Danio rerio: one gene and its partner. The protein of the gene in region 1 purifies or fractionates together with the protein of each later gene. This does not show direct contact. Links are inferred from orthologs where the notes say so. Each region holds a gene or a part of one and is shown in the gene's direction. Other genes may lie near its edges.

The links. The genes of interacting proteins can lie anywhere in the genome.
Region 2: the proteins of myo6b (region 1) and cltcb purify together in Homo sapiens (affinity purification with western blotting; 4 studies listed by BioGRID and IntAct, with this or other methods). This does not show direct contact. The link is inferred for Danio rerio from reciprocal best matches to the Homo sapiens genes MYO6 and CLTC.

Annotation. Positions count from the first base shown.
Region 1 is NC_133192.1:38,702,448-38,710,908, reverse strand, and holds the start of myo6b (myosin VIb), read left to right. Parts: upstream 1-2,815; 5' UTR 2,816-2,965; intron 2,966-8,461. UniProt on the Homo sapiens protein: Myosins are actin-based motor molecules with ATPase activity. Unconventional myosins serve in intracellular movements. Myosin 6 is a reverse-direction motor protein that moves towards the minus-end of actin filaments.
Region 2 is NC_133190.1:19,767,486-19,774,584, forward strand, and holds the end of cltcb (clathrin heavy chain 1), read left to right. Parts: intron 1-3,205; coding exon 3,206-3,336; 3' UTR 3,337-4,402; downstream 4,403-7,099. UniProt on the Homo sapiens protein: Clathrin is the major protein of the polyhedral coat of coated pits and vesicles. Two different adapter protein complexes link the clathrin lattice either to the plasma membrane or to the trans-Golgi network.

The DNA of each region.
Region 1 (8,461 bases):
GATGGTAGGGTCAGAATTTGGCGTCAACAGCATGAAAGTATGGATTCATCCTGCTTTGTATCAACGGTTCAGGCTGGTGGTGGTGTTATGGTGTGGGGGATGTTTTCTTGGCACACTTTTGGCCCATTAGTACCAATTGAGCATCATGTCAATGTCACAGCCTTCCTCCGTATTGTTGCTGACTATGTCCATCCTTTTATGACCACAGTGTACCCATCTTCTGATACTTGAACAATGAGTTCACAGTACTCAAATGACCTCCAGTCACCAGCTCAATCCAATGGAGCACCTTTGGGATGTGGTGGAATGGGAGATTTGCATCATGAATGTGCAGTTATGATGCTATCATGTCAATATGGACTAAAATATCTGAGGAGTACCTTGATGAGTTTATGCCATAAAGGATTAAGGCAGTTCTGAAGGCAAAAGTGTGTCCAACCTGGTACTACAGTAGTAAGGTGTACCTAATAAAGTGGCCGGTGAGAGTACATTACTACTCTGTAAAAACAAATCTTGCTGCCTTATTTTTTTAGTTAAATCAAATGAACTTGTCTAGCTTGCATCCAACTATTAAGTTACATTTTGTACAACGTAAAAAAAAACAAAAAAAAACATGAAACCGGATTAGCTCATTTTAACAATAATGTAAAGTAGCAAAACATTTGTTTTCATCACTTTGCTTGATTTATTTTTACAGTGCAAGCATTATAGACTCAATTTAAAGACAACTTTCCTTGATGTTTAGTTATTTTTTTCTGATATCCCTACTGAAAAAACAACTTTAACCAGCCTAAGCTAGTTGGCTGCTTTTAGCTGGTTGACTAGTCTGGTTTTAGAGGGGTTGTGGCCACTTCCAGGCTGGTTTCCAGCAATTTCCAGACTCGTCTTAGCTGGTCAGGCTGGGAGATGACTAGGTAAAACCAGCTTGACCAGCCAGATTTAAGCTGAACTTAGCTGGTTTTGGCTGGGCTCCCAGCCTGGCTAGGCTGGTCAAGCTGGTTTAAGCTGGTCATCTCCCAGCCTGACCAGCTAAGACTAGTCTGGAAATTGCTGGAAACCAGTGGCCAAAACCACTTTAAAACCTGCCTGGCAGCTAAAACCAGGCTGGTTTAAGCAATTCTTTTCAGTAGGGATATTTACTAAAACTTGCCAAATCATAACAAAACATACATCAAAGTAACAAATTTATTCAACTTTCATGTGATGTATAAATCTCAATGTCTAGAAATTGACATTTAAAAAAAACATTTAAATTATAAAATTTAAACTTAAATAAAATTGATTTATTTTTACGTCTCGAGATCTGATCTCAGAGCATATTCATACTCTAGTTATGCTGGTTATTTTATGTTTTTATTTATAATGTGTCCCAGCTGGCATAACCCCCTTACTTCATATGTTCTCCCATTAGAGCTAGTAATATAGGCTACATAAAAAATTATTATTTTAAGATAATCATTTTGCTATAAGAACTCTTTCATATTTTTTGCTTCTGGCAAATGTGCTCTGGTACACCTTGCATGCTTTATGCACGTTTGTTTTTATGTCTGCAATGCTCTTGGGAAATGCAGAAGTCAGCGTGGCATTAAATCTAATTAATGGAGCTTCTTCAGGCTCACCAGATGACTTAAAACTCTTGTTTAGCTGTTTCTGGGGAAACTGATGTCGAATATTAGGCCTACTCTGTCTCCATCCCAAGATATTCTGTGAGACTATACGTAACTCAAGCTGGAGGCTATAGTTAACCTGTATAACACCCCAAAGCAACAGCATGAAGTCGTATATGGGATGAAGAGTGGTTGTCAGAGTCTTAAACACACACAAAAAAACTGTTTGTTATAACTTTTTTGCTTAGAAATTTGATATAGCGACACGTAGTGAGAGATCAGGTGTCCTAATTAGATTTACAAACACAAAGTCTGCTTTCAATGTGGTTTAAGATTTCAACTTAGGAATACTTCTATACGTTTTGAATTACAAGCCAAATAAAATATTAATGAGCCTTCAGTTTGTATCAGTTGCGCGCCTTTTAGTAACTATGGCAACCCAGTAGGCACCTTGTGACTTTCTCCTCATCCCTTAGCAAGTTTTATCCATCCTGAATTAAACTTTACTAGTACGTTAACGAACTGGGACTTGTTTTAGTACAATAATACAGTTTATAACTTGAAGAACTGATTCCAGCCACCAGAACGTTTTAACTTAACCTTCTTTTAGTTCCCAGAACGTTCTTTTAAGGTTTTTGGTTAGCCAAAATGAAAACAACATTAGCTTTAACGTTAGGTTGTAAAGTGTACACAAGACGATAATAATGTGCTTGAGGGGATAACTTTTAATATTAGACGACCTGTTTTAGTATGTTTGATGTTTTTATGTGATGATAACACTATTTTTTTACATAACACTAATAAGCAGCTTGATTTGAGCGATAAGAACTGGTAAAATTTACCATGACATACTATATATTTAGTCATTAAAACTAAAATATTCCTCGTAAAACATATTCTATATCACCTTTATAGTAAACAACCAGTTATTCGTGTCATTTAGATCAATCAATGTATCGGCTACGTCTTAAAAGATTAGTTTGCGCCCTACCTAGGCAGCATAATGGTGCGTCATGTATTTGTAGTGAAGCCCGTCAAGTAACTTATATCATTGTAGCGCGTACATGTAAAGTCCACTGCACTCGCCTACTGCATGCCGCTTTTACTCAAACTATTTTGCCAGTCATGACCCTGTGTATTGAGACACCACCTGTGTCAGTCAGCGCTACTGTGTCACCGTTGAGGTCGCTGTTATTCCAGTGGACTTCAGTCTGAAGCCGGACACACAGAGAGGAACGACAGCGGCTTTGGAAAAGGGAATATTCAGCATCGAGGAGGGAATCTGTCACCGCTAACCGGGACAGTCTGTCGCTCATCTGTCCTCAAAAGAAGCTGCTCTTACCGGATTTACACACAATGTGAGTGACTTCGCTTACTTTATTTATTGCTTGACTGCGCTTTGTGGCAACTAAAGGTGTTGTTAGGCGTAAGTTGTGTTTAATTGCTTCTACAGTGGCGCGCTAGCATGCTGCTAATGAATGTGTTCATTCAGTATGGTTACAGTGAATTTTGTTATGTCAATGTTTGCAATGTCATTTATTTTTGCAGAATTTTGTTTAAAACGCAGGGTTGTATGACAACGAGTTCGGTTAACAAACTACTAGGAATACATGTATATCAGCGATAGTTAAATTCATTCTTAATCTTGCTTTTGGTTGTGTTTAGTTTTTTTTCTTTGAGAGCTTTTTCTATGGTGTTTTGTAAGCTGCGTGTGTGTGTGACCAAAGTTTTCCAGAAAATTAGTTAAGGCAGGCAGTATGTCATGGAAACTCGACAGGATATCCTATGTGTGCAGTTATAACGAGTGTAACTTTCTTCTGAAGTTGTGGAAACCATTGACAGAGGTAACGTTAGTTATTTGGGTTCCAATCGTATGAATGATGGATGCTTTAAACGCTGAATTAGGTGACTGTAAACTGCCGTTTGTGCGCATGCGCGACTGCTCTGGTTAAACGTCGTAATGGTTCCACCTTTATAATCCCCCAAGGGTCATTCTACGAAATGTGTGTCGTTTAAAGCGATTTATACTTGCATTTATGCACACATACAGTATGCATGACATTAATGTGGCTATTGCAGCTAGCTTTTAAAATGATTTTGGTGAGAGCTTTAAAAATAAATAATAATAACAAAACTTTACATTGCAATTCATTCATTCATATATTCATTCATTCATTCATTCATTCATTCATTCATTCATTCATTGGCCACACTTCATTTTATGGTAAAACTCTTGCTATTAATAAATCATTAATTTTGACTTGTAGTTTGACAAACTTCTACTTTGCTGCTTATTAATAGTAAGGTTTTAGTTGGCTTTATGTGTTTGGTAGGGTTAGGGATGCAAAATATGTATTTTAAGTACTACCAAACAGTTAATATCTCATTAATATACAGGCAATAAGCCAGTTGTTAATAGTAAGAATTAGTACTTGAACTAAATTGTTACCTATTTCATATGTTGTTGCAATTTTGCAATAATCATTTAAGAGATATAGCCTTTAAAATATATTTGTAGAATTTTGGACTTATGTAAACAGAGCATCTTTAGGTGCCAAAAACTCATTTTGTTATCTTGTCATATTAGTGTCAAAAACTATATACTGTATAATATCCACCCCCCCCCCCCCCAAAAAAAAAAATAAATAAAAAAATTCAGATATGTGTGTGTGTGTGTGTGTGTGTGTATATTAGGGATGCAACGATTATACATTTTGGTTGTACGATTATAGTCATGGAAATAATCACGGTTTCACGGTTATCACAATTATTATGCATTTATTAATTTCAAGCCCCACCAGTTTAGAAAATAAGATAAAAACTCCTTTTGCTTTACAGTGTTATTTATTGCTGCTCAGTAGCTAATTAATAAAGCACAAAATAATATAAAAAACGAACAATAGTAAATTTCTCTCTTTGTGCTTAAAAATAAGTGAATGTTTTTGACATTTAAACAAAGAATTTTACACTGTAAATAAATGACAGAACAATAAATAAATAAAAGAAAGAATAAATAAAAAAATGTAGGAGCACCCACTAAAAATTAATAAACACCACTGCAACTTGTATATTAAGGGATTTATTGTATTTGAAAACAACATCAATTAGGACTAACAAAAACCACAAACAACTATCTAACTAATGCTGAGATGACTTATTGATATTTGCGCAATAACTTCAAAATGAATGTCTAATAATTCTAAAATATTATTGATGACGAAGATGACACTAATACTAACAATGAATGATTAACATTTCTCATTTTCTTGCTGCTTTGAATGTGAGAGTTATCTGCTATAAAAAGTCCTACTGTTACTTTATGATAAATAAATGTATGGTTTGCATCAAAAAAATTAAGCATTGCAGTAAGAAAAGTTTATTTTGCACTATTGTTTTATATGCTGGTTAATTTACAAACAGAAAGAATGGACAAAAGAAAGGAAGAAAAGTCTCACTTCTGCTCCTATTTAAAAGTTTTGGTTTCGGTTTGTTCATTGTAAATGCTTAGTCTCGTTATGCTCTGATTTTCATCACTCTGTGTGAAAAAAACAACAACAGTGAGTCAGCCGGCTCATACAAGCGGGGTAGAGCAGGATTCTGTAGATGACCACCAGTGCAGTACTGTTGTCATGAGCCGCAGTTTCAGTTTAAACTTAGTAAAGGCGAGCTTCTTTGGGCGATAATGTGTACATTGTTAGGTTTTACATTTAGCAGAAATTTGCGGTGAATGCAACGCATCAAGATTTAGGCCATTAAACAGCTGATCCAATCCAATTCTTTCAGCACTCTTTAAAATCACTCTGTTGATCTTGGCTGGTGATTTAACATTTACTACATGATCGCTCTTATCGGCGCCATTAATAATAACTAATAATAATAAAGCAAGAGCGCTGTACGTCGTGTGTGCGTCCCTCCAGTGGAAATAATGAACTTGCATGAGCTTGCCTTAGCCTCGGTCATAGTTAATCTAGTGTGCGTGGTTATTAGTCTCAGTGACAAACTAGCGCAGTTAAGTTTCAGCAGTGCAGAAACACGGTGTGACGAATTAAATCGCAGTTAATAGTGAACCCGGTTGCATCCCTAGTGTATATATTGTTTTCTTATTCAAACTGGATCTTGTTGATGCATTTTTCAATGCAGCAGGAAAAATGTATCTCACTTTCACTCAGAAAATCACACCTTCACTTCACAAAATGCATTTACTTGCACAAACTTTCACTTGCCGAGAAATATTTATGATGCTTAGCTTTTATATTTATGTTGACATTTGATCAACTATTTGCTTTATTCATATGCATTTATTCAAATTCCATTATTTTCAGCGTGGTTTGTAAAAATACAATAAAATGGGGTTCAAATTATATTTTAACGAGATTCTGTTCTTTTCACTATTGAAAATGGTGTATATTATGCAGTAATAATATGGCAAAACAATAGTAACATTCAAAATGAGTCTGCGATGAAAATGAGAATGAAAATGAGAATGAAGTCTGCTAGGTTGGACGATATTGGAAAATCCTATATATATATATATATATATATATATATATATATATATATAGTGTATTTGCTGTGTAATTAAAAACACCTAAAGTTACAAATGATGTCACATCTGATTAATGATCATTTGTGGAATGTTAATCCACCGTTTACTCTTTTCAGAGTGGATAAAAGACATTGAGTTTAAAGTCCGCCAAGATATATATATATATATCGATTGGGATGATTCTGTAGTGGAGTGCATCTCCATAAAATCTAATGCATTTAAAATCAAGTACATTATACATTTTCGAAGTGGTCTGTGCTATTTGCAGTGCATTTCTGCATGTGTTGTATTTTATTACATAACTATCTATAAATACAATCAAGAAAAATGTACTCTTGAAATAAAGTGTTTTATCATTTCCCTTGTCTAACAGTATTCAAGTACAGTAAAACAGGGCTCGAAATTAACCTTTTTTCTTGGTAGCACTGGTACTCCCAACTTTAAAAAGTTAGGAGCACCAGCCAAAATTTAGTCACACCCACCAATTATAAGCACCGTTACTACAAGTTTTAATGTTATATTAACCGACTTACTGCATTTGAAATAAACACTAAACAATCTAACAAAACGACATCTGCATGTGCCCACCAGCCCTGCATGCACTGCTTGACATGAATTAAACTTAGTTAACTTAGCAGTTCTCACGGGTGCTGTGTAATATTGCACAGATAAGACTGACATAATAGCTTATTATTTGCATACGTCATCTTAATAGCAATACGGTTTTTTTATGAGCTGCAATATTAGTTTTATCTTAATGAATGCAAGCCCTTTTGCGATTGTGTACGTGGTGTTACATTTTACATACAGCTGACAGCATCCTGTTGATTAAATGAAGAATTAAACAGAACCTCTTGTGCTAAAATGTGTAGATTTGACAAACGCTGTTACCTGCAAACTCAGTCCCAGCGGCTTTACGGTGAATGCTTTAGTCATTTTCATAGCGGACTTTAAACTGAATGTCTTTTATCCACTCTTTGAAAAGAGTAAACGGTGAATTAACATTCACCAAATGATCATTAATCAGATGTGTCATCATTTGTAACTTTAGGTGTTTTATAAAACTTAATCTGTCAGTGTTGTTTTCATCCTCTCATCTCCAGCCCTTAACATGTTTGCGGTTGTAGCTCTCCCTGTCATCTAAAGAAAGCCATCGAATGAGTGATTGGCAGCTGATATTAACCAATCCGTTCGCATTCAGTGCTAGAGCAGTGGGCCAATCAGAAGAGCTTAAAGGTGGAGCAAGCATTGTGGGCTTTGTTTACTGCAGCAAGTTGACATGACAACTGTTTTAAACCATTTATGCGCGCTTTGTCCAACCCAGGCTCATTCTGAAAACGTAGTCCAGCGGATGTTTCTGGAGACCGCGAAATACGTCACGGGAGGTACGTATTTGTGCAGTTATTGTTTTTGCGAATCCGCGAGAGGCCGCTGTGCGCGCTTTTTCGTATCTTGATCGTCTCTCGCGAGTGCCGTTTGCGCCCGCGCTGTTCTCGCGTCAACCGACCAGAGGCCACTGTCTGACTGACCGAATAATTGACCGCGCAACCGGCCAATCGGCTGACCCACCCTCCTCCTTCCCTGAACCCAACCAGTTTTACCTATTGATCCGCTCGCCCATTTACTTTCTTAAACCCGAGCAACAATTTAGAAAAGCCGTCTAGAAAAAGAAAAGCCCTCGTCTGTTTTTTTTTTTTTACCACGTTTTCGGATTTCACCGCATTCTCACCCTCAGTTATGAACTCGTTCGCTTTATTTTTTGGATTCTGTTTTTGTCTTACCTGGTTTCTGGAACCTCTCTTCCCCGGACTCGATCCTGGATGCCTTTTGTCAACTCCTCCTCTCTGCATCTAAAGTCCGCCGACGCACACGATGAGCTGACCGGACAAACTGACTGCAGCAGGAAAGCCCTTCACACGGAGGTAAGCGGTCAGCCGGCAAGCGCGAAAGGTAACGGCGTCACACCGCTTAGTAGCGTTCGATTAAAAAAATGAAATGCAGCCATACGTACCTCCCGGTACGTATTTCGCGTGCTCCAGAAACGTCCGCTGGACTACGTTTTTAGATAAAATTTTGGGCACATATGCGACCAAAACAATCGCAATTTCGATCCCTTTAATATAATAAAAATAAACATAATTTATTAAAATTAATCATAGTAAGGGTCTCAAACAGTACAATCTTGAATCTGAATGCTTTTAAAATCAGTATACACTCACAGATATCCTGCAATGTGACTATTGCGAATGATCACATTGCGATATCAGTGCTGAAACGGTATATTGTGCAGCCCTAGTTGATACAGTAC
Region 2 (7,099 bases), on another chromosome or scaffold:
CAGAAGCTGATCTGAGAATAGTGTCTTTATGCTGAGCATGCATCAGTCACCTGTGTGCAGCGTGTATGTGAGCAGAAGCAGCGCACAGGTGTTTGCTTTTCACACTGGATGTGCCTGCAGTGCAAAGCTGATTGGCGGCTGCAGCTGCACAGATCGATCTGTCTCTATATCTAGTTACCTATCTATCTTTATATATAAATATATTATTTATTTTTAATTCTCATCTGTACTAAGGCCCACAGCTACTTCCTGCATGTGTGACGTGAAACAGGCATTATGTGGATTGACTGATTCAGAGGCTGCATATTGAATTTTATCATCATTTCAAGTCAAAATAAAATAAAAGGAAAGCATAATCCTCTTGAACAGCTTTTGCAATTAGACTAGATCACATTTAAGATCAGCTCTTTATTAATACTTTCACTTTACAAAGAAAGGTAGGGGAAAATCTTTAATAGGGATGATAGCCATATAGAATGGTAAAAAACGGGAGGGTTGACAGGTATGCAGAAAGTATGATAGTCAGTCTTCAATGTCCTCTTTTGTCACTTCTTCAAGCATGCCCCTGAGAGCGAGGTAAGATAAATCTAAACTAATTTCTGTAGTTCAAACAACTCAGAGTTGTAGCTGAGAAAGTATGTTGTAACAGCTCACTTATTAAAAAAATAGTCGAGTTTAAATTGGGCTCAAGGCTGATTTTTAGTTCTGCGTCGAGTGATCAGATTTTAAATGTACAAGTAGCTAAAACAAACTTATTCAGAGGTGGGAAATGGCGGACGTGCAACAGCATTAATCATAAGGTGAACACAAAACAACATTTTCCATCTGGAGCTCCTTTACGGGACCCAACACTTGTAAACACTCGCTCCCCTATGGCTCGTGGCTCTTAGCACCACCACAGTGTTGCCAACTATTTTCAATGAAAAGGCGCTAAGATATGCTCAAAAAGTTGCTAAATGTTGCTAAATTACGTCATACGTCAATTTGCATATTACTGACGTCATCATGTCCAGCAGTTTTTTTACAGCCTATGGTTAATATTTATAGCAATGGAAATATTTACAATTGCACTATGCTTTATATATGAATGTCAATTTAATTAAATTAATTGTTTGAATATTCATATAGATGTATAATGAATTTGCAGTAATCTCCCAAACATTATAAACACACAAGTTCCAAAACTATCACAAAAATCTCTTTAATAGTTATAAGAAACTCGTTACTGAGGAACATGAACACCTACTGCCAGGTAGAGTTTAGGAATTATTATTGCAGAGCAACAGAAACAGCGAGCAGAAGTATGAATGCACAGCGTTGCATGCGCCGTGGGTGACGCCGATCACTCAAAGCAGAGGTATAAACCAGGCTTAAGCAATAATATCCATCTGCAGGCCCGCAGAACCACACACGTTTTAGGCACACACAATCTAGGACACACGATTTAGGCAAACCATATGTGGTAACTAACTAACTCTTTAGCTTTATCGCCACCTATTGAATTTCACAAGTATGGTTTAAGTCATTATTATTATCATCATCTCTGCAGTTTCTGAAATCAAATTATGTAAATAAAAATAATTGGTTAAAGACACTTATGACTTTATTCATGTGTCCACATACACAAAGAAAACATAACAGACTGTCTAATTGTAAGATTAAGTGTAATAAACTAAATTAGGATCTTAATCTTATCATACTTGGTTAAAATCACTTTGTTGTAAAATATAAAAAGCAAGCAATATTGTGTCACATTAAAATAAATTAGCATACTATAGTTAATCATTTAAACTATATATATATATACATATATATATATATATATATATATATATATATATATATATATATATATATATACATATATATATATATATATATATATATATATATATATATAGTTATATAGTTATATATATATATAGTTATAAACTGATTATCTTAACTGATTATAATTATAAGTTTATATATAAACTATCTTTTATTAAACTGTCACAGCTGTGTGTGTGTGTGTGTGTGTGTGTGTGTGTGTGTATATATATATATATATATATTTTTTTTTTTTTTTACTTATTATTTTTTATTAATTATTAATAGTTAATTTGTTCTTATTGCTAAATTTTGATTTAAAAACAATTTGTTGCTTACTATAAATTACTACAGTATTAAATGTGGGAAATCATTCATTAAAAGGTTATTAGAAAGTTAAGCAAATAAACACTATAAAATCGCTTTTGAGTAAAATATTAATATATTGTTATACATTTGTTACATGTAAAAAGATTTTTATTACATATAATGTGTTATTGCCTATATTTACTTGCTATTATTTCCTTCATTATAAATGAATCCATTATATAAATTAAACCTGTCCAAATTAGATAGTTCAGCAAGGCCACCAAACGCGTATCTGCCATATTATTGTCAGATAATAATGACTGATTTGCTATAATGACTGATTAAAAGCTGTTCAGTCTATTATATTGAATGGCGATCGGAAGCAATGCTCCCCATTCGGCCATCTCGATCACAATATTTGTGAAATAAAGTAAAGTAAACACTATTGTTTGTTGTGTACAATATTTATTAACCATATATATCAAAACATATCGATGACGATGTTCAAAAAGACGTTAATAACATTAACATCCGTCGTAACCATATATGGTTTGCCTAGATTGTGTGTGCCAGATTGTGTGTGCCTAAAACGTGTGTGGTTCTGCGGGCCTGTAGCTGGATATATCTCAGTTTAAGGGGGTCTGAAAAGTTGGCAACACTGCACACACCGCCCACACTCGTCACAGCTACCCCAGCCGACCAATCACGGAGCTTGCGCTACACGCCGTTGTGACTTGTAGTAACAATTTTTGAGAGGTGTACATTAGCGATGACGAGGGCTATGCGACCATGCGTAGGCTTGTGCCGGAGCATACACGTGTGTTTGACACAGAAGTATAAATCAGCCTTGAGCCAGAGCCTGCGCTTGACGCCGAAGTATAAATCAGCCTTCAGGCTCATAATTACCGTTAATGTGTCACACCAGGTCAGACTTGGACACAAGTTGCTCGAGTAGGGTCAGGTTTAATTTTTTGGGCTCGATCTAAGCTCTATTTTACTGTTGCATTCAAAGCTTGTTAAATATGAACAAACAAATTATATACATGGTTTCAGTACTAATGCTCCTGTTTTGAATGATTTTTTTCAGGCACACCCCAGCTGATGCTCACTGCAGGTCCCAATGTGGCAGTTCCCCCACAGCAGCCTTACGGCTATGGCTACCCCACAGCGACCGGCTACACCCAACCCGCACAGCCCGGCTTCGGCTATGGCATGTAAAGCCCTCCTGCCCACAGCTGTCCATCCATCTCTCCTTAAGTTCCTCACAAAGCTTATCGTGGTCTACTCACAAGGTTATATAAAGTAAAACAAACAAACAAACAAAAAAAAGTTACATGTTTTAAATTATTTTCCTGCAATGAAGGACTTCATTTTTATTTGTGTTGTCAAAGAAAAAAATCGGACCACACTTTTGTTATTTCACATTCCATATTTAAGGCTACTTATATCACTAGTTCTTTTTTTTTTGTGAGCTGATTTTTTTTAAGGGGGCATGGGTTGTGTATGTAAGTGGAGTGTTGAGAAGAGCAATTAACCTTAAAATATGTTGTGAAGCATCTGATTTGCACTCTGTCGTGAGAGGAAACTAATGTAGAATCTCTTAATTTTGATGTATTGTATGTGAAGAGCTTACACTGTCAGTCTGTTTAATGCATTTCATTATTGTATATTCTGGAAAAAAAAGGTTAAAGACGATATTTGAACATGAACGTATGCATCCATGGGTACATTTAGCTAACACTAAGTAATAATCTGATATTCTACACAAATATGTAGCTGTATGGGAATTTTAAGCGCATACAGATATGAATATAGTAAACGATTTTAATCCCTTAGCATAAACAGGTTTCCCCCCCGATCGACCTCGTAGTTGTTAACATCTCATCATCCACTCCATGTGTAACAGGTGACCTTTCCTTGTATTGAATACAGTGCTCTTTCTTGTGTGAATCCATTTCCATAAATGAGCAAGGGATACATTGATTCTTCTGACTTCTGTGTTTACTCATCCGATACTTTGTATTAAGGTGTGTGTGTGTGTGTGAGTGCCAGGTGTCGTGCTGTTCTAGCTCACTATTCGGAGTGTACAGAAGAATGAATACACAGAATGGATACCGATGCTTGTCCACCTGTAAGATTTTGTGTGTGATCTGCAGAATCTGAAAAATAATAATAATAATTATGAGGGGAGGGTGAGGAAGAAATACACAGGATTGTAATTTTTTTGGTGGCTTGATTGTAAATTGGCAAAGATTAAAATGAAACTCATCCATTCTCCATCAAATATCTCGCAACTTTGTTTTTATGCAAATCACAGCAGCCATTTGAGGTGTACACCGTTGTTGTAACTATGTTGTGGCAGAAGAACTTTGGCGTAAAACATCAAGTAATGCTTTACTCGTAGTTTGTTCCATTAACAAATATGCTGAGCCTTGACATAATAGCCCAAATTGAACTCTGATCTCTGAATTAAGCTACTACGGTTTAAATGCCAAAACATAGCACCTAAATCAGGGGTGCCTAAACTCGGTCCTGAAGAACCAGTGTCCTGCATGGTTTAGCTCCAACTTCCTTTAACACACTTGCCTGGTGGTTTCTAGTATACCTGGAAAGAGCTTGATTACCTGGTGCAGGTGTGTTTAATTGGGGTTGAAACTAAATTATGAAGGACACCAGCCCAACAGGACTGAGTTTGGGCACCCCTGACCTAAATGAATAAGTGGTGGTCAGGTAGTACAGCACACAGTTGAAGTCAGAATTATTAGCCCCCTGATTTATTAACCCCCGTTTATTTTTTCCCCAAATTTTTGTTTAATGGAGAGTAGATTTTTTTCAACACATTTCTAAACATAATAGTTTTAATAAGTCAACTCTAATAACTGATTTATTTTATCTTTGCCATGATGACAGTAAATAATATTTGACTAGATATTTTTCAAGACACTTCTATAAAGCTTAAAGTGACATTTAAAGGCTTAACTAGGTTAATTAGATGAACTAGGCAGGTTAGGATAATTAGGTTAAGTTATTGTATGACAATTGTTTTTTTCTGTAGACTATCAAAAAAAAAAAAAATATATATATATATATATATATATATATATATATATATATATATATATATATATATATATCCTAAAGGGGCCAAAAATTTTGTCCTTAAAATGTTTATTACAAAATCAAAAACTGCTTTTATTCTTGTCGAAATAAAACAAATAAGACTTTCTCCAGAAGGAATAAAATTATCAGACATACTGTGAAAATTTCCTTGCTCTGTTAAACTTAATTTTGGGAAATATTTAAAAAAAAAGAGAAAAAAAAATCAAAGGGGGGCTAATAATTCTGACTTTGTATATAAATTGTATACTGCATTACACTAATTAGAAGTTATCATATTATTTAATAATAATATATTTAATAATAATAATTATTATTATTTTCATTAAACATTAAATTACCAAATAGAACAATTGAAAGAAGCACTCCACTTTTTTTGGAAATAGTATTATTTTACAGCTTTTCAAGAGTTAAACAGTTGAGTTTTACGTTATTTTTAATCCATTCAGTCAATCCCCAGCTCTGGTGGGGTCATTTTTAGGGTTGTTGCTAGATCAGATAAGGTTGCGTCCGGAAGTGGACGAGAATTATTTCTATTATGTATTACAGGGTTCACCAATCCTGGTCCTGGAGGGCCGGTGTCCCTGCAGGGTTTAGCTCCAACTTGCCTCAACACACCTGCTGGGTGTTTCAAGTATACCTAATGCCTTGATTAGCTTGTTCAGTTGTGTTTGATAAGAGTTAGAGCTAAAATGTGTAGGACACCGGCCCTCCAGGAACAAGTTTGGTGACCCCTGATGTATTAAATTTTCCAATAATTGTGTTTTTAAAAAACGTCTACCTCTACCCCAACTTTAAACCCAATGTTTGTAGTATTGTAAAAACGGTAGTTGTACCGAGTATAATGTTATTTAATAAACTGGCCAATAAATTGTCCTTTTTTTAGTCTACCCCCACCCTAAACCCAACCGTCATGGTACTGTAAGAACAGTAGTTGTACCTAGTATTATTTGTGTTATCTAGTAAATTACCCAATAAGTTGTATTTTATACCCCTAACCTACCCCTAAACCCAACCAACACAGTACTGTAAAAATATTAATTGTTGTTACACAGCATCACAAGTATGATGCTATATTGACGTGCGTATCCGCAGCTGTGCCCTATCTAGGTCTTTACCCATTTTTAGCTTAGCTTAGCATAAATCACTGAATTGGATTAGACCGTTAGCATTTTGTCAAATAAGTAAATAGAATTTTGATAATTTTCCCATTTAAAGCCTGATCCTCTGTAGTTACTGTTCTTCATGTACTAAGACTGTTGCAAATTAAAAATTGATACTAATGATACTAATGGTCTAATCTGATTCAATGATTTATGCTTAGATATTAGTGTTTCTGCCAGACCAGGAGATTGGCTGAATGGAATTAAAAAATGGTCAAACTCAACAGTTTAGCTCTTGCGAGCTTGTAAAACTAACCTATTTCCACAGAAGTGGAGCATTCCTTTTGCGAAAGCCTCTGCTCTGCCAAAATATTAAATGTATAATAATGTAAGTAGGATCTCTGAAAAAGTTAATATTTCAAGTTCTAAGAGGGTGTGGATGCTTTTTGTAAGTTTGTAATTACAGTAATTGGCACAATGTTTGAATACACAGTTAACACTCACATGATTTAAACGGAGACCGCCTTAATGCAAATAAATAAATAAATAATAATAAAAGATAATAAAAAAATCTTTAAAAAAAGGCTACTGTTGTGAGTGAATATACATCAAATTGACTATACCTTGTCAAACACAAAATAGCTTAAATATCACCCAACAGAAAACTGCTGAGACCTTTTTTAATATAGCAGAAAGGTATTTGAAGAAGAAAATGCAAATAAACATGTACCAGCTTGTTGGTATCTTCCTGTTAAAAAGTT